Mus musculus: one gene and its partners. The main gene of each other region encodes a partner of the protein of the gene in region 6 in a complex. Links are inferred from orthologs where the notes say so. Each region holds a gene or a part of one and is shown on either strand. Other genes may lie near its edges.

Evidence for each region.
Region 1: Sf3b5 (region 6) and Sf3a3 share a complex: the UniProt entries of both Homo sapiens proteins name them as parts of the 17S U2 SnRNP complex. The link is inferred for Mus musculus from reciprocal best matches to the Homo sapiens genes SF3B5 and SF3A3.
Region 2: Sf3b5 (region 6) and Ppil2 share a complex: the UniProt entries of both Homo sapiens proteins name them as parts of the minor spliceosome. The link is inferred for Mus musculus from reciprocal best matches to the Homo sapiens genes SF3B5 and PPIL2.
Region 3: Sf3b5 (region 6) and Rbmx2 share a complex: the UniProt entries of both Homo sapiens proteins name them as parts of the minor spliceosome. The link is inferred for Mus musculus from reciprocal best matches to the Homo sapiens genes SF3B5 and RBMX2.
Region 4: Sf3b5 (region 6) and Rbm48 share a complex: the UniProt entries of both Homo sapiens proteins name them as parts of the minor spliceosome. The link is inferred for Mus musculus from reciprocal best matches to the Homo sapiens genes SF3B5 and RBM48.
Region 5: Sf3b5 (region 6) and Sf3b4 share a complex: the UniProt entries of both Homo sapiens proteins name them as parts of the SF3B subcomplex of the 17S U2 SnRNP complex. The link is inferred for Mus musculus from reciprocal best matches to the Homo sapiens genes SF3B5 and SF3B4.
Region 7: Sf3b5 (region 6) and Cript share a complex: the UniProt entries of both Homo sapiens proteins name them as parts of the minor spliceosome. The link is inferred for Mus musculus from reciprocal best matches to the Homo sapiens genes SF3B5 and CRIPT.

The regions. Positions count from the first base shown.
Region 1 is NC_000070.6:124,713,373-124,717,660, forward strand, and holds the start of Sf3a3 (splicing factor 3A subunit 3), read left to right. Parts: upstream 1-1,488; 5' UTR 1,489-1,522; coding exon 1,523-1,618; intron 1,619-1,896; coding exon 1,897-1,944; intron 1,945-2,279; coding exon 2,280-2,332; intron 2,333-2,437; coding exon 2,438-2,543; intron 2,544-3,078; coding exon 3,079-3,151; intron 3,152-4,288. UniProt on the Homo sapiens protein: Component of the 17S U2 SnRNP complex of the spliceosome, a large ribonucleoprotein complex that removes introns from transcribed pre-mRNAs.
Region 2 is NC_000082.6:17,104,753-17,108,252, reverse strand, and holds part of Ppil2 (RING-type E3 ubiquitin-protein ligase PPIL2), read left to right. Parts: intron 1-1,028; coding exon 1,029-1,074; intron 1,075-2,197; coding exon 2,198-2,260; intron 2,261-3,500. UniProt on the Homo sapiens protein: Has a ubiquitin-protein ligase activity acting as an E3 ubiquitin protein ligase or as an ubiquitin-ubiquitin ligase promoting elongation of ubiquitin chains on substrates.
Region 3 is NC_000086.7:48,693,676-48,697,803, forward strand, and holds the start of Rbmx2 (RNA-binding motif protein, X-linked 2), read left to right. Parts: upstream 1-1,328; 5' UTR 1,329-1,440; coding exon 1,441-1,445; intron 1,446-1,644; coding exon 1,645-1,760; intron 1,761-3,725; coding exon 3,726-3,777; intron 3,778-4,128. UniProt on the Homo sapiens protein: Involved in pre-mRNA splicing as component of the activated spliceosome. As a component of the minor spliceosome, involved in the splicing of U12-type introns in pre-mRNAs.
Region 4 is NC_000071.6:3,593,748-3,598,047, reverse strand, and holds the start of Rbm48 (RNA-binding protein 48), read left to right. Parts: upstream 1-1,500; 5' UTR 1,501-1,530; coding exon of another isoform or gene 1,531-1,659; 5' UTR 1,660-1,845; coding exon 1,846-2,082; intron 2,083-2,602; coding exon 2,603-2,793; intron 2,794-4,300. Other genes in the region: Pex1 (peroxisome biogenesis factor 1), read right to left, coding at 1,531-1,659. UniProt on the Homo sapiens protein: As a component of the minor spliceosome, involved in the splicing of U12-type introns in pre-mRNAs.
Region 5 is NC_000069.6:96,171,019-96,175,305, forward strand, and holds the start of Sf3b4 (splicing factor 3B subunit 4), read left to right. Parts: upstream 1-1,487; 5' UTR 1,488-1,555; coding exon 1,556-1,589; intron 1,590-1,952; coding exon 1,953-2,081; intron 2,082-2,522; coding exon 2,523-3,065; intron 3,066-3,304; coding exon 3,305-3,511; intron 3,512-4,287. Other genes in the region: Mtmr11 (myotubularin-related protein 11), read left to right, coding at 68-214. UniProt on the Homo sapiens protein: Component of the 17S U2 SnRNP complex of the spliceosome, a large ribonucleoprotein complex that removes introns from transcribed pre-mRNAs.
Region 6 is NC_000076.6:13,007,303-13,009,683, forward strand, and holds Sf3b5 (splicing factor 3B subunit 5), read left to right. Parts: upstream 1-1,147; 5' UTR 1,148-1,320; coding exon 1,321-1,581; 3' UTR 1,582-1,881; downstream 1,882-2,381. UniProt on the Homo sapiens protein: Component of the 17S U2 SnRNP complex of the spliceosome, a large ribonucleoprotein complex that removes introns from transcribed pre-mRNAs.
Region 7 is NC_000083.6:87,024,099-87,028,360, reverse strand, and holds the start of Cript (cysteine-rich PDZ-binding protein), read right to left. Parts: upstream 2,801-4,262; 5' UTR 2,702-2,800; coding exon 2,686-2,701; intron 663-2,685; coding exon 597-662; intron 1-596. UniProt on the Homo sapiens protein: As a component of the minor spliceosome, involved in the splicing of U12-type introns in pre-mRNAs. Involved in the cytoskeletal anchoring of DLG4 in excitatory synapses.

The DNA of each region.
Region 1 (4,288 bases), on a different chromosome or scaffold from region 6:
ATATGTGTGTGTATATATGTATGTGTGTGTATGTGTGTGTATATATATATGTGTGTGTGTATATATGTGTATATGTATGTGTGCATGTGTGTGTATATATGTATGTGTGTGTATGTGTGTGTGAATGTGTGTGTATGTATTGTATGTGTATGTATATATGTATGTGTGTATGTGTATGTTTGTATGTGTTTTGTTTGTTTGTTGTTTTGAGATAGAGTCTTATCACATAGCTCAGGCTGAACTTGAACTTGTTCTCCTCTTGCCTCCATCTCCTAAGCGCTAGGATCACGGGTGTGAGCCACTTTGCATTGCGCCGATGCCTCTTTCCTGGTGCATGCACTGTCACACACTTGTAATCCCAGCTCTCTATACTGATTCACTCTCTGCCCCTACTCTGTTTGTTTGTTTGTTTGTTTGTTTATGTTTCGTTTGGTTTGGTTTCATGAGACTGGATCTCTATGCAGCCCTGGCTGTCCTGGAACTCACTATGTAGACCAAACTGGCCTAGAACTCACAAAGATCTGTTTGCCTCCACCTTCTGCCTCTTCTGCCTCTGCTTCTTCCTCTTCCTCCTCTTTTAAGGAAAGGCAGTCTAGATTTCATTTTCTAAGCCATACAGTGGCTAGGTGTGGTGGCTCATACCTGTAATTCCAGCAAGTGGTAGGCGAAAAGCAGAAAAATAAAGAATTACATGGAATTGGGGCTGGTGAGATGGCTCAGTGGGTAAGAGCACCCGACTGCTCTTCTGAAGGTCGGAAGTTCAAATCCCAGCAACCACATGGTGGCTCACAACCACCCGTAATGAGATCCGATGCCCTCTTCTGGTGTGTCTGAAGACAGCTACAGTGTACTTTACATATAATAAATAAATAAATCTTTTAAAAAAAAAAGAATTACAGAGAATCAGAAGTTAACCTGTGCTGAACAGCAAGCATATCATTGCTTGAGTGTACCACGTTTTTCTTAAAGACTCCTCTGCCAATAAACAAAGGTTGTGTTCAAATATGTATGAGTTTTATTAAGAACAAACCCACCACCATCTCCACTTTACTGACAAACACACTAAAGTCCAGACAAGGGGAAAACATCACCAGAGGTCACACACTGAAAACTACTGCTGCTTCCAGTTCCCCTTTCCGTTCTGTATCCTTCAACTTATCCGTTCCTGCTAGTGTGTCCCTGCCGGCCCAGCTTTCTGCAGCAAGCCCCGGGCAAGCCAGCTGTCTCTCAACCTCAGCCTACAGGATTCTTGCAGGCTTCTTAGAGACAGCCAGCTTTCAACGCGGAGGCAGCGCTCCTTCAGACCCCCAGCCAGCAGGGGGAAGCGTAGCCACGGTCGCGGATAGCACCCGCTTGCTCTCTTCGTGGTGTTCCTTTTTTCTTGAGTCCCCCAAGACACTTCCGGGACACGCGGAACTTTGGTGCAGCCGGATGCTGCGCGCTGAGACGCTGGCTGAAAGGCGGCAGGCGGTGTTTCCGGCAGTGTTAGTGGTCCGCCTTGAAACGCCGTGGCCAAGGGAAAATGGAGACAATTTTAGAGCAGCAACGGCGCTATCATGAGGAGAAGGAACGGCTTATGGATGTTATGGCCAAAGAGATGCTTACGAAGAAGTCCACGGTGAGTGAGCCGTGGTCCGGGCCGCATCAGGAGGCGGGCCTGGGTCCTTTGCCGAGCCCTCGCGCTGTATTTGGCCTCGGAGCTTCTCTGCGCCCCATCCTCACCCTCCTCCTAAGCTGGCTCGGCACTCTGGCCTCGTTAACGTCCTCCGAGGGCCCCTCAATCTTCCTGCTTCAGCCCCTGGGACCTAAACCAATAAGCGCATCACCCCTCGGGTGCTCTTTCCAACTGCTAAACTCAAAGTAACAACGTATGTGTTACCGTTTGCCTTTCTGCAGCTTCGGGACCAGATCAATTCCGATCACCGCACTCGGGCCATGCAAGATGTGAGTGCGCCGCCGTCCGCTTCCCCTGGGGTCGGGCTGGGCGGGAAAAGTGCAGGCTGGGAAGGTTGAGTGGCCCTGCGTGATTTCTACCCCTGAGTTCTTAGACAAGCCCCTCTAGGGTACCTAATCAGATGTCCTATCTCTGCCTCCCAAGTGCTGGGATTAAAAGTGTATGCAACCACCTCGGGATCAAGCTGTCTCTTAAAAGTGGTGGAACTTTGAAGACCATGTATCTCATGAGTTTTCCTTGGGTTTTGCCAAGACATCCTTTCTTGTTTACTTAGCCCTGTGGTACAAATTTGCTTCATTCTGATGGCTTTGCGCTTCTGTTTCAGAGGTACATGGAGGTCAGTGGGAACCTGAGGGATTTGTATGATGATAAGGACGGGTAAGTGACGGTCACATCCCTTCTAACAATTAGTGCTTTTGAGGAGCCCTGGTGAGACCATGGGCTGTGTGCTTTATGCTCTTCGGGTTTGTTGATATCTTGCAGACTGCGGAAGGAGGAGCTCAATGCTATCTCAGGACCCAACGAGTTCGCTGAATTCTATAACAGACTCAAGCAGATAAAGGAATTCCATCGGAAGCACCCAAATGAGGTAAGGCCTCCCAACTTAGTGTCCTTAGACCTGGCCGTTAACAAAAGGGAAAGATGCAAAGGAAATGGAGCTATGCCATGTAGATGTCACTCCAAGAAAGAACGTGCCACTTCACTGCATGTTAAGTGACATCCTCTTGGCATCCCTCTGCAGTAAGAGAACACGGTGAAGCACTAGGGCTGCTTCACAAGAATGTCTCCTACTCAATATACTGTGCACCTAGCTCTGCCCTGAAATCTACCAACACAGTGGTGCTCTGTTCACTTGCAGAGGTCGTTACCCCTTCAGGATTCATGTCCAATGCCAGCTTTTTCGTAAAATATCTCTTGGACTGCCTCCTCCAAAGGAGCCCTTCCTTAGCATGCTGTGTTTTGTGCCAATCAATGTCTGCCCGGCTATGCAGCAAGGGAAGTGGAGAACACTAAGTAGGCAGCTCTGTACACTCAAGGTCAAAGCCAAAGCAAGTCTTAGAAGCCCAGGCCTGTGTGTGCCTGAGACATCGCCAGGCCCACCTGAACTCTTCTCCTTCCCTCAGATCTGTGTGCCAATGTCAGTGGAATTTGAGGAGCTGCTGAAGGCTCGAGAGAATCCAAGTGAAGAGGCACAAAGTAAGTAATGGTTACTGTTTCTTCCTGGGGCTTCAGGCCATTCTCAGCTATAGAGCTAGGACCTATGGCTTGGTTTTTTTTGTTTTGTTTTGTTTTTCAATCTGTTTTTATTTTGTCTGTGTGGGTAATTTGCCTGCATATATGTTTGTATACCGTGTGTGTGTGTGTGTGTGTGTGTGTGTGTGTGTGTGTGTGATGGCCTCAGGAAGCCAGGAGAGGGAATTGGATCCACTCCGACTGGAGTTACAAATGGTTTTGAGCTACCGTGTAGGGACTGGGACTCAAACTCAGGTGCTGTGCAAGAGCAGCCAGTATTTCTAAATGCTGAGCCACTTCTCTAGGTCCTAGAACGTCGTGTCTCTAAAAACAAATAAATAAAGGCTGATTGTGGTGGAGTATACATTTAATCTCAGCTCTCAGTAGTTCTCTGAGTTAAATAAATGCCAGACCTTTTATTTTTTTAATTGTATGGTGAGTTAACATCTTTTTTTTTTTTTTTAATTTGTTTATTTGTATCTGCATTGGTGTTTTGCCTACATGTATCTGTGTTTGAGGATGTCAGATCTCTGAGTGGAGTTACAGACAGTTGTGAACTGCCATGTGGGTGCTAAGAATTGATCCCAGGTCCTAATGAAGGCCACTCATTGCTCCTAACCATTGAGCTATCTCTCCAGCCCCATTTTTTTGTTTTGTTGTTTGTTTTGATGTGACAAGGTGTCTCTGTATAGCCCTGGAACTCACTCTATAGATCAGGTTGGCCTCGAATTCAGAGATGGCCTGCCTCTGCCTCTCTAGTGCAAGAATTAAAGGCGTTAAAAGTGTGTACCACTGCCCAGTTTGCTTTCTCTCTTCTTTTCTTTTCTTTTCTTTTCTTTTCTTTTTTTTTTCTTTCCTTTTCCTTTCCTTTTCCTCTCCTCTTCTCTTCTCTTCTCTTCTTTTCTTTTGTTCTTTCGTTCTTTCTTTCTTTCTTTCTAAAAGATGGGATCTCAGGGCTGGAGAGTTGGCTCAGTGGTTAAGAGCACTGACTGCTCTTCCAGAGGTCCTGAGTTCAATTCCCAGCAACCACATGGTGGCTACAGTATGCTCATATAAAGATAAGTAAATCTTTTTTTAAAAAGAAAGAAAGAAAAAAAGGGA
Region 2 (3,500 bases), on a different chromosome or scaffold from region 6:
TGTGGCCTTGGCTGCCCTGGAACTCACTATGTAGATTGAGCTGGTCTTGAACTCATAGAAATTTACCTGCCTCTGCCTCCAACTGCTAGGATTAAAGGTGTGTTTCACTTCTCAGCTCATCTTGTGTTGAGACAAGAGTCTGTCACTAAACCTAGAGCTCAATGATGGGCTAGACTGGCTTGTCAGTAAGTTGCTTCCGTCTCTACCTCCAGTGAAGTACACTGAGCCACTGAGCCATTTTTCTAGCACCTATTATTTTGAGGTGTGTGAGTGTGCGTGCATGCATGAATAGATACCTGCCCTTAGAGGCCAGAGGTGTTAGGTTCCCTGGTGAGTTACAGGCAGTTGTGAACCACCATGTGAGTGTTAAGAACTGAGCTCAAGTCTTGTATAAGAGCAGAATATATTCTTAACTGCCTAGCCATCTTTCTGAACCCTACCAGAAGATTTTTTTTTTCTTTTTTCTCCAAGATAGAGTTTCTCTGTGTAGCCCTGGCTGTCCTAGAACTTGCATTGTATACCAGGCTGGCCTTGAATGCAGAGATCTGCCTGCCTCTGCTTCCCATGTGGTGGGACTAAAGGTGAGTGGCACCACTGGCTAGCAACTACCAAAAGATTCTTAATTTAGGGCCTGGAGGTATAGTTCAGTGATGAAACTAGCATATAGCATATATAAGGCCCTGGGTTTGATCTCTAGTAACACATAATACATTCTTCTTTCTCGAAACAACAGCAATAAAAAATTTAATTCATAGTAATATAGCTTTGTTTTTGTTTTTGTTTGCTTTGTCTTTTGTTTTTTGAGACAGGGTTTCTGGGTGCACAGTCCTGGCTATCCTGGAACTCGCTTTGTAGACCAGGCTGTCCTCAAACTCACAGAGTTCCACCTGTCTCTGCTTCCCTCTCAAGTACTGGGATTAAAGGAGTGCATCGCCATGCCTGCTGTAGTAATGTAGTTTTAATGGTAGGTATACATAGATGAAATATTTTCCAAATAGGTTATCTGTTTTTTATTTCATCTTTAACAGATATCTCACAGACAAGTTTTCGCCGCTTACCTTTTGACCACTGCAGGTGAGAGCTTCAAATCCTTCTGTTTTCCCTTGGCTTTGGTTGAGTATCATTTCTCCCAAAACAGGTGTGTGTGTTTTAACTGCAGCTTGGGCTGACCTTGAACTCCTGAATCTCCTGCTGCTACCTCCCAAGTATTAGGATTATAGGCTGCCATCCTTGCATATTTGCATAGATTTTTTAAAAAGATTTATTTATTTATTATATGTGTGTACACTGTAGCTGTCTTCAGACACACCAGAAGAGGGCATCAGATTTCATTACAGATGGTTGTGAGCCACCACGTGGTTGCTGGGATTTGAACTCAGGGCCTCTGGAAGAGCAGTCAGTGCTCTTAACTGCTAGACCATCTCTCTAGTGCTTGTTTTTTTTTTTTTTAAAGATTTATTTATTTATTATATGTAAGTACACTGTAGCTGTCTTCAGACGCACCAGAAGAGGGCATCAGATCTCTGTTACAGGTGGTTGTGAGCCACCATGTGGTTGCTGGGATTTGAACTTCGGACCTTTGGAAGAGCAATCGGGTGCTCTTACCCCCTGAGCCATCTCACCAGCCCCTTGTTTTGTTTTTTAAGGTAGGGTCTGTTTTCTGCTCTGGCTTCTGACTGACCTGGAACTCATTAAACTTAAAAAGACTGACGTGCCTCTGCCTCGAGAACACTAGAACTAAAGGCTTGAGACCAAGAAAGGGCGATCAGCAGTGGCCCAGGCAGCTCACAGCTGCAGACACATGTGAAGCGTAGCTGTGGTAGCTGAGGCTGCTGTAGGCCTCCACCCCAGTCCATGTGCCCAGCATACGTCAGGGTGGTGTACAGACAGTACCACAGGGGCCTCATTAAACCCTGGGACGGGGAGGATGCCCCGGGGCGAAGCTTAGTCTGACTGCTCTATGAGGGTCTGGAGAGGGAATCCCAGCTTGCTTCCTCAAGGCCATCATGAGGCACCTCTTATGTGACATGAAGTGGGCTGCTGCTGCCTCAAGTACTAAGGCAGCTCCTGGGACAGCAGCTTATCCTTATGACGTGGTGTCAGGGACAGAGGGTACTCAGAACTGTGGAGCAGGTTGTGGGACCCAGAGCATGCTCAGTGTGCCTAGAAGCTGACGAGGGGTTTCTGTTCTTTTCAGTCTCTCTCTCCAGCCTTTTGTCTACCCAGTCTGCACCCCAGAAGGTGTCGTCTTTGACTTGCTGTGAGTTTACTCTTGAATTTTTAAATTTCTTTTTATGTGTGTGTGTGTGTGTGTGTGTGTGTGTGTGTGTGTGTGTGCCTGCCCACCCAGGTGCATGGTATTTGTGTATGTGCAATTGTGTTCAGATACATTTATATGTGGAAGCCAGAGGTCAATCTCATGGGGCTTTCTCTGTTGTTCTTCATCTTATTTTTTTGAGACAAGACCTTGTCAGTGAATTTGGCACTGTCAGCAAGACTGGCTGACCAGCAGGCTCCCGGTTCCACCTGTTTCAATGCCTCCAGCTCCCACTAAAGTTACAGATAGGTGCTGTCTTTAGCTGGCTTTCTTTTTCTTTAGTTTTTTGTTTTTTGGTTTTTTTTTTAGTTAGTTTGTTTGTTTGTTTATTTAAGTACACTAGCTGTAGTCACCATCAAATCCCATTACAGATGGTTGTGAGCCACCATGTGGTTGCTGGGAATTGAACTTAGGACCTCTGGAAGAGCAGTCATTGCTTTTAACCATTGAGCCATCTCTTCAGCCTCATTGTGTCTGGCTTTAACATGGGTTCTTGGATGGAATACAAATTTCAGGCTTTTGTGCTGTGGAGAAAGTCCTTTATCCACTAAGTTGTCTCCCCAGCACTCTATATTTAATTTTGACTTAATAAATATGACAGGATTCTTGATACCAATTAGAGAAAGGAATATAGAGTTTGTGGCTCTAAGCAGGGTCAAAGTTACTAAAATCTTGTCCCTAGAAATCTCATGACATCTAGGTGAGCCTGTTTGGTAACTGGGAGGGACCACCAGGCCTCAGGCAGCACTAGCTGGCAGATGCTGTTGCAGTGGAGTGAGTCCTTCTCCCCCCTGTCTTAGAGGCCAGCTGCTTACAGATGTGCAGTAGAGGTGTGCTGGATGGTCTCTGCATGGTGAGAGATGCAGAGTCCCCTGCATTGCACTCTGATGCACTGCACCCTGTTGCATGTTCCAGCTAAGCTTGTTTTACATCCTACATTTTTTTCTAAAATTTGCAAAATAAAAATAAAAAAATAAAAAAATACTTGAATAGAACAATTTACCCCAATGACGTCACTGTCCAGGATCATCATTATGCCCTCTTAGCCCTGTGCACAGATTTCTTTGGTGAGTGCAGAGGGTGGGGGAGTCTCACTGTAGTGCCCTGGCCTGTGTTCAAATGACTTCCCATTCTCATACATCTCCCAAGTAGCTAAGCTTACACCACACTTGGCTTACTGCCA
Region 3 (4,128 bases), on a different chromosome or scaffold from region 6:
TATTCTGATCAGCCTCAAAAGAGAATATTACATGTTGTCTCTTACCTTAAGAGTTCCATACTGCCTCTAACCACAACATTTGGGAGGCAGAGACAGGTGGATCTCTGTGAATTTCAGGCCAGCCCGCTCTACAAAGTGAATGCCAGGAGAGTCACAAGCTCTATAGTGAGACCACGTCTCAGGGGGAAAAAGAGAGTTCCATGCTTCTGAATTGGTAGAATAAATATTGTGAAAATGGGTATACTTCCAAAATTAATTTGCAGATTTCATGCAACACCTTTCAAAATTCTGATGTATTTCACAGGTTTAGAAAAATAACACAAGAATTGATATGGAACTACAAAAGACAATAGGTAGAAAAGAAATCCCAAGGAATAAGAACAATGCTGATAGCATTATAGGACCTGACCTCAAATTTTACTATAGACCTATAGTCATAAGGACAGCCTGGTATTGCTATAAAAGTAGACATTAATATCAATGAAATAGAATAAGAGAATCCAGAATAAAATGCCAAAGCTATTCCTATTTAATTTTTGACAAAGGAAGCAAAAACATATATTGGGAAAAAAATAACCTACTTAAGAAATATGCTGGAAAAACTGAATTTCTATCTGAAGAAGACAGAAATTATGTGAGTGCAAGTGCCCACAGAGGCCAGAGGAGGATCTTCTGAAGTTGGAGTTGTGAGCCACCTGTTTTGGGTGCAGGTTCTCTGGAAAAAAATCAGCAAATGGTCTTAACCACTGAGCCACCTCTCTAGACCTTCAAGCTAATTTTTTTGAAGCTCAGTTTTTTTCCTCTGTAAAATGGGGATGGTAACTGTATTTCATGGGGTTGTTGGGCGGTCAGCCTGGTCTACAGAGCGAGTTCCAAGACAGCTAAGGCTACACAAGGAAACAAACAAGAGATTGAATGAAAAATGCAAATGGCAGAAAGTGAGCCGCCCCCTGGGAGGCAGAGGTTTAGGGTAGGGGCAGGGTGAGGAGTGCTGGGAGGAGCCAATGGTGTGAGCCTTAGCCTGGGGTTTGAGATCTAACAGAGATAACGTGCATAAATTGTCTCTCATTCACAACCTTTAAGTTCTCTAACTCTTTAGTTGATAGGTACTAGTTTGACAATGCTAATTTTTGCCTGCTTGTTTATACGTGGGCATTTAATTCCGACTGGCAGAGGAACACAGGGTCCCCCCATCGCTCTCCATCAAAAAGGGGGCGGGGACTGACTTGGGAACTGTCCCTCCACAGGAGCGAATGCCTGAGAAAGCACCTTCACCTTACTGCGCAGGCGCCAGGGCTTAGCGGGCCGGAACTTCCGGCGGAAGTTCCGCCTCGCGGGCCCCGTGCTCCAATCTGAGCTGGGTGTTCGGGTCGCGGGAGCGCTTTGGAGCCTCACCCGGAAGCTGTTGTCGTCTGAAGCGAGCCGCGCGAAGATGCGAATATGAAGTAAGGATTCTGTTTCTCTGCGGATAGGGGCGGGAGTGTTCTCCGCGGAAGGGAGAGTGGCTTGAGGATGGCCGCCCAGAAAGGGCGGGGACCGGTCCTCGCCCTCCGGGCCTCCGGGCGGGAGAAGCTCGGTAGGGAGAGGGCGGGCTGGGAGGAAAAGTACTTATCGCACTTACCGGCTTGCCTGCCACCCGCGCAGCCCTCTGACTAAGGTGAAGCTGATCAATGAACTGAATGAGCGAGAGGTTCAACTTGGAGTGGCGGAAAAGGTGTCTTGGCACTCGGAATACAAGCACAGCGCCTGGATCTTTGTTGGTGAGGTCCCCATTTTTCTCCAGCAGTGCCTTTCAGAGTCCGCCCCGTCCCTTCCCCTCCCCTCCCCATCCCTCTCCATCCCTCTCCCCTCCCCTCCCCTCCTCATCCCTCTCCTCTCCTCTCTCCACCCCTTCCCCTCTCCTCCCTATGCCCCCTCCCCCGGTTATTTAGTGCCCCTGGTCATCGCTTCTGAACAAGCTCATCACCTCACACTCTGGAAGCTCCTCTGCTCACAGGTCCACTTTTCAGTTGCCTTCAGCGCTTCTTAGAATTGGTATTTGCCTTTCATTCTATTCAAAACCTTGCTACTTGGCTGCTCAGAGACAGTTCATTCCACAGTCAACCTATCACGATGTCAAAGAAACGGAGGCGCAGACAGGTTACTGGACTTGCTTAAGGTCACATGCTGCAGCACTTCAAAACTGTGGGGCTTGTGCTCTTCGTCACGGTCACATACCGATCGTGTGTGTGTCTGCCCTTCCTCACAATGATTTTTCTCCTCTCCTGGGCTTCTGCTCCTAGTCCTTAGCTGTACCGTGATGTACCTGGTCAGACATTAGCTGGATTTGAAGACATTAAGGCTTGATTCAAAATTAGCTTTACTCCGGCTGAACATTTGAAAGGCCACCTGAAAATGTGACAGGATCAGGGAAAGCTACTTCTGATGAAAAGAATAGAGTCTGGAGTACACCCCTGGCCCTGGGTAGATACCAGGACATTTTCAGGAAACCTACATGTTACATACTAGTGTGCCCCTTCCTTCAGACATAATCCAACAGAGCTTTAAGTCATCTGGCCAGTAGACACCTGTCAGGAAAGCTCAGTCACCGCCAGACACGCTAGGGACACGGGAGGGAAATGATCCCCAGTGCAGGTGGTGCTGATGTCCGCCCTAAGTCTACCTGCTGCTCTGAGGCCTCGCTGAGCCCCACCTCTCCCTTTCTTTCTGTTCTCTGGGTGCTGGCGGAAATCCTGAGCCTGCTTGCCCCTAACACGCTGGGCTTTCTCATCTCACATCTAAATGTTTTCCTGTCCCTTTGCGGCTACTGCTCTGTCCCCATTTTTGTGCACTCCTGCTTGCTCCACCTCCTAATTCTGAAGGCATGGCTGCCAACCCTTCTGTAGCTCCCTCCTCCCTCCTCCTCCCGGTAGCTGGCGAATCTTACACCTTGCCTCCCTATCAGCTCTCCCTCAAATGCTAACACAATGGACCTCAAGCTTGCCCTTTAGTCTGTTTTAGAATTATTTTACCAAGATTAGAGACTGAGAGCCTTTGTAAAAGGGGAACTCTTGAGTCTCTGGGGACAATATTACCTTTCGTGTATTCTCTTTATGTCACAACCAAAATCCCGCAGTTTGCCTTTTGAAGGGATTGTGTTAAGCACTTTATATGCCTCATTTTAGTTTATTTCCATAATACTCCTGTGAGGCAAATATGTTAACGTCCCCTTTTTGCATATGAAGGAGAACATTGAGGAACATGTGAAAGGCTTCCTGTGAACCGCTTAGCACTTTCCTTGATACATCCTAGTTTGCACGTGGGGGGCAGTAACAGTGTATTGAAGTCAGTGTTTATGAAATCTGAGTCTTGTGCTGGAAATCATGTGCTTTATAGGACTTTGGGTATGAAGACTCAATGATAAGATTAATTTGGTAATTTATGACCCTAGCCTTTCCCCTCAGAGTTAATTAGTTTTTTTCTTTTTCTTTTTTTCTTTTTGAGGCACAGTTTCGCTCTGAAACTCACTGTGTAGACCAGGCTTGCCTCGAACTCAAAGGGATCTGAGAGCTAATGACTTTTCTTCCAGACAACTGTCATCGTACCCACTCTGTCATTGTATTAGGCTGATAATTTCCAGATCAAGGCTTGTTTAATCTGCACCTCCAGTGTCTGGCCTAGTGCATAGCATGCAGTGAATGCTTGATTAATGCTTGTTAAACTGGAGAATGTGTGTTTTCTTCCAGGAGGGCTTCCTTATGAATTGACAGAAGGCGACATCATCTGTGTGTTCTCACAGTAAGTCCTCTGTTAGTTCCTATCTCCTGGATGCATGGAACAGTTTGCTTCCATAGTGTATTTTTGTAACAGCAACAAAGCATTTCAAGCTGGGTGTGGAGTTGTACACCTCTAATGCCACTAGACAAGTGCCTGAGATAGGAGGATCACTTGGGGTCTGCCTAGGCTCCATAATGCATTCCAGGTCAGCCTGCACAACTAAGTGAGATCCTGCGTCAAAAAGCCACCAAAGCTATTTTAATTCTAGGGATGTCTAATGACATCCCTCCATGGGGAAGGCTAGACCCTAGATCAGTCCCAGAGAGTTACCCCATGGGAGATCCCAGAGCTGAGATCGTTTGAGAGTCTGTC
Region 4 (4,300 bases), on a different chromosome or scaffold from region 6:
GTAATTGCTAAAAGCAATGACCTCTCAACAAAAGTCATATTAATACTACACAAAACCAGGACAGGAAGCTGGGCGTGGTGGCGCACGCCTTTAATCCCAGCACTCGGGAGGCAGAGGCAGGCGGATTTCTGAGTTCGAGGCCAGCCTGGTCTACAAAGTGAGTTCCAGGACAGACAGGGCTACACAGAAAAACCCTGTCTCGAAAAAAACAAACAAAACAAAACAAAACAAAACAAAAAACCAGGACAGGAAACCTCATGTGTATCTAGCTCCACCTTTCTATAAACAATAAAGATTAGATATAAGCATGCAAGACTTAATCCAAATGCTTAGTATTTTACTTCTTCACTTCTCAAATAATAATAAAAATAATAATAAAGACCAAGACTATGTAATTCCTAAACAGTGATGAATCCAAGGAAGCAACAACATGTCAGGTTCAAATTCTTAGCGACCATAAGGAAGCATTTTTCTAAACTCATGGGGTGGTAAGCTTAATTTGAGATTTGAAAATACACTGAAAAATCCCCATCAGAAATGACAGGGAATAATGATCCAAGCTGGGATTTGGTAACAGTGAATGATTCCTTTCAGTCACCAGAAAGCAAACCAGAGAGTTAGAGAATATTTGGTGGAGATAAACTAACAGTAAGAATGGTTCTGATGAAATTGGTGTGTTCTGATAGGTGGACTGTAAAAGCAAGATAAATGTAGCAAAGAGGAAATAAAGGTAGAATACTTGAAGTCATTTCAAACTCTTGTATATTTTTTTTATGACCCAGTGTTCAGGTACCATGCATCTAGGATTTTAGATTTCAAATACTCTAACCCCATGAATACACTCAAACTAAGAGAGTCTATTTCTGCTCACTCTTAGGAAAATATGGATGCTGTATTTCCACCGATGGTTAATAGCCTTGAAACACCATAATGACAGAATCCAGACAGCTCGCTGAGGTCCAAGTAATCCTAGCTACCGAGGTGAAAGTGTGGGGTGTGAATAATTCCATCACCTTGTCACCCCGCCCCACCTCCCTCGCCGCACATATTCTTGCTATGTTCGAAGTCCTCCGGAGCAGGGAGAGCTATCTATCCTTTTATTAACCTTTCGCACAGGTTGGAAACCTTGGTAATCTACAAACCAAGTCTGCCACTCAACACCTCTATCGCTGCACCGGCAACTCGTTGGCAGGATAATGCTTTAGCAACCTGTAAGCAAACCTGTAAGAGCTCTCTAGAACTTTCCATCCTTGAGTGAGGGCCGCTTCTGACTGCTGGGGCAGAACCCTTGCATGCTCAGCTTGCTTTAACCGAGTTAAAGGGGTGCACTAGGAATTCCACGGTAGGGTCTGAGGATACACTAGCCGTGGTGTGGATGCACACGCTGCCACTCCACGCCATGCCCGCAGGGGGCCCTCGCTCACGCCTCAGCTCGGGGTCGGTGGCAGACGATGTCCCTGCAGGAAAAGGTGTCAGCTGACCCTAGTCCCACGAGACGTCAGTGGTGTCCGCGTCCCGCCAGCGCGTTACCTGCAGCAGGTGAAGCTGGGCCACGAGGCGCCGCGGCAGATGCAGGAAGCAGTCCCGAGCATTCGTGAAGGCCACCGTCACGACCGCCCCACCAGACCCCGCACCCGCTAAGCGATCGCTGCTCCACATTGTCCCAAGGTTCAACTCTCACCGGAGAGCGGAGTCCACCGGCTTCTCGTCAGGTGAGAGCGTCGGAACCCGAGAACATCGATCAGGCCCGCCCCCCTCTTCCCACGCCCGGCCGCTGTCACCCTCGGGCCACCTCCGAAGCTCTAGGGGGCGGCACGTCGCTCGTCGAATTCTCGCTCTCAGGAGATGATCGTCGATGGGGTCGATCCTTCAGCCAATCCTAGCACGCCTGGTCCATCCTGCTCTCTTATTGGACTCAGAGGAGCGCGGCTGGCGGATGTTGTTCTGGCGCGGGGGACTAGAGCCGGCAAGATGGCATCCAGTGACGGGAAACCTGGTGGCGTATTCGATCACCACGTCCAGACGGCTGTGTGTGACTCGCGGGCCAAATACCGGGAGGGCCGACGCCCTCGCGCGGTCAAGGTAGAGTGACTCGGATTCTTCTCTCCCCTCGGCAGGGACACTAAATTCCTGTGAGCACTAGCTCCCCAAGGCCTGCCTCCATAAAGGCATGGCAGGGATGTTGTGAGATCCATCTCTAAGTGGAGGGGGCACGAAGAACCCGGGCCCCGGTACCAAAGGTTATCACTACCCTCGGTTAGCTGCTTACCAAACCTCCAACCCACTATTTTTAGCTTTGTATCCTATGTGTTTACAATAGCGCTTCTCACAGGGCAAGCCCAGGGTGAGTGAGTGTTCAGTGGCTGTTTACATTAACCTCTCTGGAGTCAGCTTTTGGAAAAGACGTCTGTTAAGTGGTTTAGTCAGATACCCTTATGTGGAGTGTGGTAGTCTTTAGGCAGAAGAGTGACAGTTTAGTGTGTATGTTTTGCAGACCGGATTGTTTCTTGTTTTCAAAGCTCCATTTAAAAGGGGGTGGGAGGACCGATTTGCCATAGGCTTGTTTGAAGAGTACATTTAACGAGGTCTCCTTTGACTTTAGGTATATACAATCAATTTGGAGTCTCAGTACTTACTAATACAAGGAGTTCCTGCAGTGGGAGCCATGAAGGAATTAGTTGAGCGTTTTGCTCTGTATGGTGCGATTGAACAGTATAACGCTCTAGATGAATACCCAGCGGAAGATTTTACAGAAGTTTATCTCATTAAATTTGTGAAATTACAGAGTGCAAGGTATGTACAAGTTAAGCAGAACTCCTGTTAAAATCTTATTCCTGTTGCTGTCATTTTGGCCCCAACTGTTTCCCAAATGTACCCAAAGCACAGAAGCACTTCTTGCTCTCAGTCTTCCTGATTGGGGGGAGGAGGGGAGGGGACAGGGTTTATTTGGATAGCCTTAGCTGTGCTAGAATTAGTTCTGTAGACCAGGCTGGCCTTGAACTCAAAGATCCCTTTGCCTTTGCCTCTGACTCTCGAGTGCTGGGTTTAAAGGTATGCACCACTCCACCTCGCCTTCCAGTTTGTTTTTCACCAGGCCTCACATCTGCGACTTAATCACTCTAACAGTGAGTGACATCCCAGCTCTTCCTTCAAGCTTTTAAAAGGCTGACTTTACAACAATACTCTTCCCATCCTCTCATACCTGTGCTTGGCAAATTTTGAACCTGTAGTGTGGTAGATTAAGAATTACGTTTGAAGTAAATTATCAGTCCTGTGGATTCATGACTGTGGAGAATTTTAGTCCTCCAAGCAAATTTTTGTTCTTTTCCTAAAATCCATATGGCAAAAAGGACTACTTCTTGAGGTTCACTGAGCAAGGATGAAATGGGACAATTTATGTAAAGGGAGTAGACTGGTACCTCCTATTAAGAGGAAATAGTAGAGCCGGGCAGAGGTGGCACATGCCTGTAATCCTAGCACCAGGGAGGCAGAAGCAGGTGGACCTCTTGAGGTGGAGCCAGCCTTGTCTACAGAGTGAGTTCCAGGAGAGCCAGGGCTACACAGAGAAAACCCTGTTTCCAAAAAACAAGCAAACAAACAAAAAGTAACTATTAGTAATGACAGTTCTTATTTGTATAGTTCTATGTTAATCAACTTTGTATTCCAATAAGGAATGCTTTATTTTATGTTAACCCCTTTTGGCGGGGGGGGGGGGGGGTGCATGTGTGTGCATATTCCTGTGTGTGTATGTGTGTGTGTGTGTATGTGAGTGAACACTAGCCTGAAACTGGCTGTGTAGACCAGCTGACCTAGAACTCAAAACTTCCTCCAGACTCTGCCTACCCATCTCCACCAGGTTCAAAGGCTTGTGTGCACTACAGTGTACTCTATCCTATTTTTTGAGGTTGGGCCCCTCCCTCACTGAGCTCATTGGCTAGATTGGTGACTGTCAAACTCAGTGATCCTTCTATCTCTACCCTGTGAGCACTGGAATTACAGGCACAGTGCGGTGCCTGGCTTTCACGTGCATGCCAGGGGTCTGAGCCAAGGCACTCCAGCAAGGGCTTTTCCACCGGAGCAGCCTTCCTAGCTCATGTTAGCCATTTTTTCATTTTAATCACTAACCTTATCTAAACCATATCTTTTTCTGGCTTTTGCTATTCATAAACTTTTTTTTTTTTTTTGGTATGGAAAAAGACTTCAAATCCCCTGGAGCTGAAGTTACAGGTGGTTGTGAACCACCCAAGATGGATGCTGGGATTTGACTCTGCTCTTCTCAAAGATCAGCAAGTGCTCTTTT
Region 5 (4,287 bases), on a different chromosome or scaffold from region 6:
GGAAAAAAAAGGAACCAGGAAGCAAGCCCTGTAACAGTCTTCCTCTGTGCGCTTTGCCCCTCCCCAGATGGGCTCCTCAGCTCTCACAGTCTCTGCCCTTCAGGATGAGCTTTCTCACCTTCAGGAACTGTTAAGACAATGGACACCAAGAATATCTCCCGAGGACCAGAGCAAGAAAAGAGATCCGAATACCATCCTCTCTCAGATCTGCTGAAACTGTTTGTTAGCGTCGTTCTCAGAGGCAGGGCAGGGGTCTCTGCTCATCTTCCTGTCTGACCTTGACGCCTCAGCTTTGGCATTCCAGTCTGCAGAGTTCACTTAGAAGGCCCGTTTCTGTAGCAGATGGTGGCGCTACCAACCTAAAGGTCTCCCGATTTGTTTGATTTCTGGGGCTATTTTCATTTCTTGTGATTTGAAAACTAAGAAACAAGACCAGTTCAGAATGTGATTGCCCCTTTTCCCAGGCAATTCTGTACCTTTTGGATGGCCGTCAAAACTGTGACATGAGAGACCCTTTTCATCAGTCCCAACAATGATGTCCTAGAGACCTCATTCGCAACCTCTCTACACTACTTTGAAATCTTTTCTTAGTCTTCTGTGGGAACGAGGTGAATAAGGGAGAAACCGTCTCCTCCCACTGTATATTTTCATAGCAGCGTTTCTATTTAAGGAGTTCATTAAAGCACAGTATTTCTACACATTGCTGGTATTTTCTTGTGTTGAATGAAGATCTCAGCAAAGCCGTGGGGGTGGAGGGGAGGGTGTGAACTGAGAAAAACACCCAAATTATTGTAAGGAAATAAAGGATCCAAGTCAGGCGTGGCCTGGAAGAAATACACATAAAATATGGGGGAAGGGGTCCGCACACCTTTTTTGAGACATGGTCTCTATGTGTCTATTAGGCCAGCTGGAACTCTGTTTTTTGAGACAGGTTTTCTGTGTGGCCATGGCTGTCCTGGAACTCGTTCTGTAGACCTGGCTGGCCTTTAACTCAAGAGATCCATGTCTGCTCCTTAAAGCTTCGATACCAGCCCGCAACCCAACCCGGTTTCGTGTCCCAGATTTCCCAAGATAAGCGGAGATTTGACACTTAGGGGAAAACAAAATACCTCAGGCTCAAGTCTAGGCCGAGGGCGAGTCTGCACGAGCGTCGTGGACCTCACTAAATAATAGGTCGCTCCAGAAGGCAGTCCTGGCCCTGCACTTAGGACACAACTCTGCGTCACAGAACGTACAAAGCCTGGTTTTGCACTTGAATGTGCGTTTGGGGAGCCGTGTGAGCCTCTAACAGTCTGGAAGCATCCGGGGCTTTAGTTAACTGTGTCGAGACGGGCTGAGCACATCCGTTCCGCCCCGACTACAGCAGCAGCCCTAGAGCGCCTTTCCCTTCCGAAAGACAAGACTCCGACCCCTAAGATGGCCGCGATCGCTTCCGGCTCCTCCCCCCCCCCCCGGCGCCGGCCCCGCCCAACGTGAGCCTTGGCCCGGAAGTGGAAGTTGTAACTGAGGTCAGGGGGCGGTGCTGCTGCTTAGAGACGGCGGGAGCCCCTTCGCCATGGCTGCCGGACCGATCTCCGAACGGAATCAGGGTAATTGGGAGAGAAGAGCCCAAGATAGGAGCAGGGAAGTGGAGGGAAGATTAGTGCCGGAAGCGTTCCCCCTGGGGTGGTAGACGAGATCCCCCCCGGTGGGACACCGACCTCTGGGCACCTGGCTGGCCGCGAGGCCGGGTGCAGGCCGAGGCCTGTGAGAAGCGATGCTTCTAGATCAGCTCCCTCCACCAAGAAGACAAAAGCCTCCCGGGAGTACCGGACCAGCAAGAATGCCAAATTAGACGTAGCAGATTTTCTAGATGATGGTGGCAGAGGGAATTTCAGGGCTTTAGGCGACGGTTTTTGGTTTTTGTCTTCTTTTTCACTGCCGACTCCTCATCGCCTGCTTCTTCCCTTTAGATGCCACGGTGTACGTGGGCGGTCTGGACGAGAAAGTGAGTGAGCCGCTGCTGTGGGAGCTCTTTCTCCAGGCAGGGCCAGTGGTCAACACCCACATGCCCAAGGACAGAGTCACTGGCCAGCACCAGGGTGAGTAGGGTACGGGGCAGGAATCAGCCCTGGAGAGGGTTAACCGGCCCCGAAGAGGCTCAGCCGCTAGGCACAGCGCCTTTGGAATGAGCAACCTAAAGATTGCTTTCTCCTTCAGCTTCAATTCCCAGTTTCTGGAATATTTTCTCTTAGCTCTAGTTTCTGGAACCATTCTCAACCATTCTCTGTGTAGTCCTGGCTGTCCTAGATCTTGCTCTGTAGACCAGGCTGGTCACGATCTTTGAGCTCCACCTGCCTCTGCTACGAAGTGGTGGCATTAAAAGCACGTGCACGTGCAGTCGCCCAGCTATTATCTATTATGTTCTTTGTGTTTGAAGGCTGGGGAGTTAATGTTTCATTTTGAGTCTCTTCCCCTGAATGATGGGTTTTTTTTGTTTGTTTGTTTTTTGTTTTGTTTTGTTTTTTTCATTGATTCCCCAGGCTATGGCTTTGTTGAATTCCTGAGCGAGGAAGATGCCGACTATGCCATTAAGATTATGAACATGATCAAACTCTATGGAAAGCCAATACGGGTGAACAAGGCCTCAGCTCACAACAAAAACCTGGATGTGGGAGCCAACATTTTCATTGGAAATCTGGACCCAGAAATTGATGAAAAGCTGCTTTACGATACTTTCAGCGCCTTTGGAGTCATCCTACAGACCCCCAAGATCATGCGGGACCCTGACACAGGCAACTCCAAGGGTTACGCCTTCATTAATTTTGCCTCCTTCGATGCTTCGGATGCAGCAATTGAGGCCATGAACGGGCAGTACCTGTGTAACCGTCCTATCACTGTGTCTTATGCCTTCAAGAAGGACTCTAAGGGTGAACGCCATGGCTCAGCAGCTGAAAGACTCCTGGCAGCCCAGAACCCGCTGTCCCAGGCTGACCGCCCTCACCAGCTGTTTGCCGATGCACCCCCTCCGCCCTCTGCCCCCAATCCCGTGGTTTCATCCCTGGGTTCTGGGCTTCCTCCACCAGGTACAGCTTGGAGTTCAGACTGTGCCAGTGAGGCTCTTGGGAGGGAGGCTCAGGAGGCAGAAGCAGCCCTGGTAGAGTAAGCTGCTAAGTTGTTGGGCAGTGAGACAGGAGTGAGGCGTGCTGGTGGAAGGGATGAAGTTGGCGGATGAAGTTGGCAGATGGAGTGAAGCTGAAGGGAAGCCTGCAGGGGGGAGGCTGGAGCTCTGCAAGACATTAACTGTCTTCCATTTCTTACACAGGCATGCCGCCTCCTGGCTCTTTTCCACCTCCAGTGCCACCTCCTGGGGCCCTCCCTCCTGGGATTCCCCCAGCCATGCCCCCACCACCTATGCCACCTGGGGCTGGAGGACATGGCCCCCCAGCAGCAGGGACTCCAGGGGCTGGACATCCCGGTCACGGACACTCACATCCTCACCCGTTCCCACCAGGTGGGATGCCCCATCCAGGTAAGGGCTCTGTGCTGGGAAGGAGCTGAGCTTGTGAGAGGGGCTTTCTTACTGTCTGTCCTGGTAGTCTTGGATGAAAATAGTCCAGAGTCCTCCTTTTCTTCAGAAACAGACAGTACTTTGTACGTGTTGGTGCTCCTGTTTTATCTCCAGTTCTTGTATTTCCTAAAGGATAGCTTGTACTGGGCAAAACTCTCAACCTCTCCTCTGCTTCCAAGGTTGCCAAATCTAGAAGACATTTCTGCTTTTGGCTTTTTGAGAAACGGGTTCTCTGTGTAGCTGGCAGTGTCAAACTCAGAGATCCTCTTGCCTCTGCCTCCCAAGTGCTGGGACTAAAGGCGTGCGTGTTTCTAGATTTCTCTAATGTCAACCATAGCAACCTGGATCGGCTCCTTTTTTTATGTTTGTGTAGATTTTTTGCTTGTTTCTCTTTTCTTTGTTTCTCTGTAGTGTTAAATGTGAAGGTGCTAATTTACCATTGGTCTCTGGTCTTAGGTTCTTGGCAGGCTAGAAAAGGCCACTGCTCAACCCACACTTAACTTTCCTCTTTCTGACACCATCTTCAGTAGTTCTCACTTGTAGGAGCCCAGTTTACAACTCTGGGGCTTTGTCTGTTCTGTCCTCCACTTTGCAGAGCAAGTCTAGCTTATGTTTTTGTCATTGGTCACAAGCCAGTGCTCAGACTGCACTCACTTCCTGTCACTGACTCAGGGACTCATCTACTTTCACTGAGTAACTTTTCCAGGGTATTCACAGACATTTTCTTCTTCTTTTGT
Region 6 (2,381 bases):
CTGGCTGTCCTGAAACTAGCTCTGTAGACCAGGCTGCCCCTGAACTCAGAGATCTGCCTGCCTCTGCCTCCCAAGTGGTGGAATTAAAGGTGTGTGCCACCACCACCTGGCATGATGCTTATTATGACAAAATTTAAACAGAAGAATTAATATTGGATGGAGCGGAACTCACCTCTAATCCCAGCATTCAGGAGGCAAAGGCAGGAGGATTGCTGTGAGCTCAGGGCCAGATCCTCCCCCCACCAAGTAAACAAAAGTACCCCCAAACTCCTGTATTTTCAAATTGTCTGTCATTGTCCATTCTCTTTGGCTGTGACTGCTCTTACCCCATTCCTAAAATGGTTTTTTGAGAGTACAATCTACATCAGGCTATACATGTATCCTTAAGGGATACCATAAAAGAAGTACAATTATCTTTTCTGAGTTGTTTGTAACGTGAGAAAGTGCACAACCCCCAACGTAAGGCAGTAATCAGCAGAAAAACACAGGTGACTAGAAAGAGAGGTGTTCTTTCTATCTATCTATCTATCTATCTATCTATCTATCTATCTATCTATCTATCTATCTATCTATCTATCTATCTATCTATCTAGTCTTGAACCACATCTGACTTCAAGGAATAGCTTTTGAGTGACCTAGAGCAAACAACCCCTCAATGGGTTGAGAAACGGGAGCCTGGAGCTCGTTGTGGGAGCCATTAGTGAGACTACTGGGGCTGACACTGATCACCAAAAATACTTTTCCCAGTGCCCAAATTCTAAGAGACAAAGCTGGGACCGCGGGGGAACCATGCTGCCACGTTAGCTTCTAGGTACAAGAGTTAATTTTCCTGGTTGCTTGTAGTTGAAACCCTCTTGGATTTCCCCTTCTTAGTAGCCCAGAGCCGTGGGATAACTCTCAGAGGCCGTTTGCCATCGTCCTACAGCAGCCAGGCAAAAACAAAACAAACAAAACAAAACCCTAAAACAAACTCTTTGGACTACTTGTTCCAGAATGCAACGCTCAGACTAGAACGTGATCACCCGAGAGCCACTAAGCGGACCATCATGCAACACTCTTCGAAGTAGGCGGGCTCCGTGAGGAGACGGCCCAGTGTTTCCTAGGCAACTCCAATCCCGCGACAGACGGCACTTCCGCTTCCGCCTAGGAAAAGACTGTCTACTCCTGCGTCTCGGTGGCGTCTTTCTCCCGCGCCTGCACGAACTGAGGTTTTGCGTGGCGGCGGCGGCACCGGCAGCGGCAGCGTCTCTCACTTGAACGCCGCGAGCGGCAGCTTCTCGTCTGTGTCCTGACCTCGGAGCCTACGAGCAGAGCGGCGCGATGACGGACCGGTACACCATCCACAGCCAGCTGGAGCATCTGCAGTCCAAGTACATCGGCACGGGCCACGCCGACACCACCAAGTGGGAATGGCTGGTGAACCAGCACCGCGACTCCTACTGCTCCTACATGGGCCACTTCGACCTCCTCAACTACTTCGCCATTGCCGAGAACGAGAGCAAAGCCCGCGTGCGGTTCAACCTGATGGAGAAAATGCTGCAGCCCAGCGGGCCGCCCGCGGACAAGCCCGAGGAGAACTGAGGTGAGCGCTGCCCAGTCTTCCCCGTGTGCCGGCTGCGAGCCTCCTTGCTCCTGCATCTCGACCATTCCGTGTTGGCTGTGTCGCCTGACCTGCGTACCTGTGGAGGATTCGGAACAAGTCATGGAGAGACTGTCCGGGTCCGCTCCTTGTGAACTGTGCAGAAGGAGTGATCCCAGCATCGGCAAGCGAGGGAGAAGACTGCACGAGAGTGATGCGCATTTCGAGTCTGCTTTTCGATAGTTGATGTCTTCTTGCCTTTTTAAAAAACCATATATATATAAAGTTTAGGGTTTGCTCTATTCTTTGGTATGGATTGCTGTGTTCTTTGGGAGGTTATTAGGAGAGGGTTCTGTGGATCAAGGTTTTGTGAGAGTATAAATAGGAAATGGGGGCAGAAGCACAGGGCAAGTCCTTAAGTCGTCACACACACTTTTATGATATTATCCCACCTCAATAGTCTTCACGCGTACAGTGTGTCTGGTCCCAAAGAAACCTTGAAGCGCGGAGATTGCCCATATCCCTTTCCTACCCTTCCCTTTATGCGCTACCCCTTACCCCTTTTTCTTGATGATTACCCTTTGTGTCTTCAGAAATGATAAACTGGCAAACAAGTGGTATCACGTCCCCATCCTGCTCAGCGCCCCATTCCCCCCACCCCTCTTCCCTTTTCACCAGAGCATTTTCCAAAGGTTTGAGGGCATACATTATGCCAGCTTGAAGAGTTTACAACTTTAAAAACCATGCTTACAATGCTACTTTACTGAGATGTCATTTGAGAACAGATTTTAAGGAATCAAGA
Region 7 (4,262 bases), on a different chromosome or scaffold from region 6:
TTATTGTTCAGTCTTAAAGTAGTGCTTTGACAATGCCTACACTCTTTTTGTATGTGTAACATCTGTCTACTTTGGTTTTTTTTTGTTTGTTTGTTTGTTTTGTTTTGTTTTTGTTTTTCGAGACAGGGCTTCTCTGTATAGCCCTGGCTGTCCTGGAACTCACTTTGTAGATAGACCAGGCTGGCCTCGAACTCAGAAATCCGCTTGCCTCTGCCTCTCAAGTACTGGGATTAAAGGCATGCATCACTGCACTGGGCTTTGCTGTATGCGTTTAATAAAAAAAAAAAGTAAGGCAGTCTAAATTTGTTTGAGAATGTAAAACTTAGATGTGGGAAGGAAATGTAAACACAGACTTTACCAATCTGAATCAAATAGACATACATTGAAATAATAATTTTACTACTTCTTGACTATATGAGGAATCCGTACATGTAACTCAGATGATGAAGAAAGATGTGCACTCCCAGGAGAACCGAGCCCTCGGTGTTTACTGGGCAAGGTAATCAGCATCTAACACTGCACTGTGCAAAATGTGACGCACCAGAGCAGGGCCACAGCGCTTGACCCAGCTCCTGTCTCCTAACAGCAAACAGTACCTGTGGTGTTCCGGGCACCATCTTTCCATGTGTCTGGAGTGATAACTCTGCCGAGTTTCTTTTCACCTGTGGTCGCCAAGACAGCAAAAGAGAACAGCTGTCATCTAATAAGCAAACTGTGTGGAAATAAAATAACAAAACCCATTTCTTTGCTAACTTTACAATAATAATTTAAAATGATAAATATATTGTATCGCCTAAAGTACATAACGATATGAAGTCAGATTATAGGAGGAACCTACTAATGCCAGGGTAGAAACCAATGAATGAAAACTTAAGATAGTAACAGTGGGCAACAGATACTGGTTCTAAATAAAACTTACAGGACAAAACGATGCTCTAGTAACAGGCTTTAACTGATTATACTTTAAGCAGTTCTGACAAACTTATTCATTCCTCTCTCTCACATTCTCTAATCACCTAGTCTGTACAAAGCACCATGCAAGGTTCTGATGAAAACAAAGCAATTTAAAATGATAAATATATTGTATTTATATGCTCCAAATGGACAGTTACTTAGTACTGTTTAAGTAGGGCACTGTTCAGGGTGGAGAAGAGCACTGGATGCTCAGTGGTATGGATGTGCCAGCTGAGGCCAAACAGTCCTCAAACACCTAACAGAACAAGGAAAAGAAAGCACACTGAAACCAAACTCCCTGGAACTCAGTAAATGCACAACTGGAGAACACGTACGTGCCAAGTTCTAAGAGGTAACTCTAAAAAATTGGAGAAAAGTAACTTTCTCGAATAATGTGTGATACAAGGGAAGACTGAACTGAGGCGGCTGCTGACATTACAGCTTCTGTATGCAAGTACCTCAGTTTACTTACGGGGTGCATGCAATGAGCAGACAGACTGAGAGGCTACAGATAATAAGACCTTAGATTTCTCAGAAGAGCAGAGGAAATGACCTTTCAGGGCACAGCACAAAGGACGGCTTCACAATCTAAATACATTTAAGCCACATTTAATTAACCATTTATCCCACTTTCGAAAAGAATAAAAAACCGTTTAAGAATGGCACAGCTCTGGAGGGGTGTCTGTGTCCAGAGTTCTACATACTGAGGGGCTATGAACAAAATGGGTCCTGTATATCCGCCAGTAACTGAGATGTGGGTTGAATCTTGTCAGAGAAGGCTGTCTAGCCCATGAAAGAGATCAAGAGAAGAAAGTTGTTTTTAAACGAATCATCAGCTTTTGCAGCTACCAAAAAAAAAAAAATTAAATATTTACAACAAATCTTAAGGGTTTCATTGGAATTACTGAATGGTAACTAAAAGGGTTAAAAAGACCTTTCTAAAAGCCAGGGGTGACTACTTAAAGATTTCTTTGGTGGTGATGAGACTCTCTCCTTCACCTGACCCAAAGCTGTGAGTATTAATGAATTGACGGGATGGCTCAAAATATCCAATTTAACTTAATTTCAGATAGCCACTGAAGTAATTTTTAAAATAAAATCTAGCCGGGCGGTGGTGGTGCACGCCTTTAATCCCAGCACTGGGGAGGCAGAGGCAGGCGGATTTCTGAGTTCGAGGCCAGCCTGGTTTACAGAGTGAGTTCCAGGACAGCCAGGGCTACACAGAGAAACCCTGTCTCGAAAAACCAAAAATAAATAAATAAATAAATAAAATCTGTATTAAATGCGGCATGTTTTGTAGTAAGGAAAAGCAGAAAGTCAAGATTTAAACATTATTCGGGACATATTAATAATACTGGAAATTAACCATTGCTTATAATCTTAAGATGTAACCGAGAGCCTGGAACTTATACTTGTGACATCTGTCAACTCTTGATGCTACCAGAAAGATCGTGAAGATCCGATTTAAGCCTCCGAGAGCCAATCAAGAAGTTGTAACGGAGGAGACCCAGAAGGGGCGCGAGGACGACAACAGAAACAAACACAAGAGGCGCAGAACTGAAGCCATTCTCAACACAGAGCGGAAGGCTATGCTTACGGGACAGGCAAGAAGGGCCGAGGGGCAGGGTAGGAAGACACCGGTTACGCCACAGACCAGCAGGGGAAAACCAGAGAAATCCCGAGAGAACTTCTCAGCCCTCCACCTCCCCCAGAAGCAGCCCCTGAACTTACACTTTTCACACACCATCCTTACATGGGGGTGTCCCTGTGCCCTCAGCCGGCAAAGCAGGAGCAGCAACCCAAACACAACAACGCCCCAGCGGAGACGACTTCCTCTTCCGGCTACGTCAGCCCGCTTCCGGACTCTCAGCCCTCCCGCTCCGGCCTATCCCGTACCTAGAAAGTCGCGGGAGGGATAAACGCGAGCTGATGGGCGGGGCTGCTCTCATTATCCCGCCCCTTCTCGTCAACGATTGGCTGTGCGCTTGTGAGTTCCCCCCGCCCCCTCGCTTTCTGGTCTGCGCCTGCGCCAGGGGCCATGCCAGCCTGTAGCACCTGAGGGTGGGAGGCGGTGGTGTCCCCCTTCCCTTCGGCGGGCGGGAGAGTTAGGTAAGCCGGTGGCGGGTTGCTTCTCACACTCGCCCGGGGCGGGTGCAGGTCGCACCGCCGACCGCTGCGGTGACTTCCAGGGCGCCACGCTTCCGGCGGACCAGAGGATGCCCTGCGCTACCGACCCTCTGAGATGCCGGCGTCTATCACAGTCTCTCAGGGGACTCCGACCTCAGGTCACCGGGTCGGCCGCACGGGCTCTCTCTATGATGGCGACCTCCAGTTGCCCACACTGCGCCGTCCGAGGCTGGGACGGAGCCACCTGGGTGGGGTGGAGCTGCGGTCCGCACCTGAGCAAAGGCTGCTCAGGAGGAGGGCTCGGGAGCAGCCAAGCCTTCCGACCCCGTTCTCACGGGATCGCGAGTCCCGAGGGCGGCTTCCCAGGTGTGGTGTCCTGGGTCGGGGACTCGCTCGCCGGTGTCACCTTTGCGTTTGGGTACCGCTCGCGCTCGCCGTGTTAGATGGGTGTTTGCCGGTGGCCTAGGATGGATTTCTGATCGCGCTTCCTGCCTGACCCCGCAGTGGAAGGGAGAATCTGAGAAACTTTCCCCAAGTCTTTTCACGGCTATGCGTTCTTGTCCCGACCCTGGAGGATTTCTTCTTGTTTAAAGAGGCGATGCTTGAAATGGCTTGTGCGTGTGTAACCTTGGCCGTATCTGCTAACTTGTTCATCCAGTTTTCTTAATCAGTATCATTTGCTTTTGAAAACGATAAGTGTGAATGAAATGAGGGCTAATAGCACCATGCCCAGACTTGCGCTTTTACCTTTCCTGCTAGTTCCTCACCCTGCGGTGTGGATGTTACTTTTTGGGCCCGATTTTTACTACATTGTAACATGTGTTACTTTTAAGTTCTTAATTAACTTTAGTCAGTATAACATAGAAACTGTTCTCTAGGTCAAATATATGTATTTAGAGACTGGAAACTATTGTTTCTCCTCCCACTCGCGTTCTGCTATTACCATTATTTAACATCTGTACAGACAGTGTGAGCCCTTAGTGTAGCATAATGACCATCTTAAGATGGTCCTCCACCATTTGCATATCTAAGTGTATACTTGGCTGTCATTTGGGAACTGCAGTGATTTTCGCCAAAAAAGTAAAATTAGTTGCTGGTGTCTGGCACATGTCCCCTTTGTAGAAACCAGTCACAAATATTTAAATTTTTACAGGAATTTTCTTTTTGAGGCTCTGAAAGAT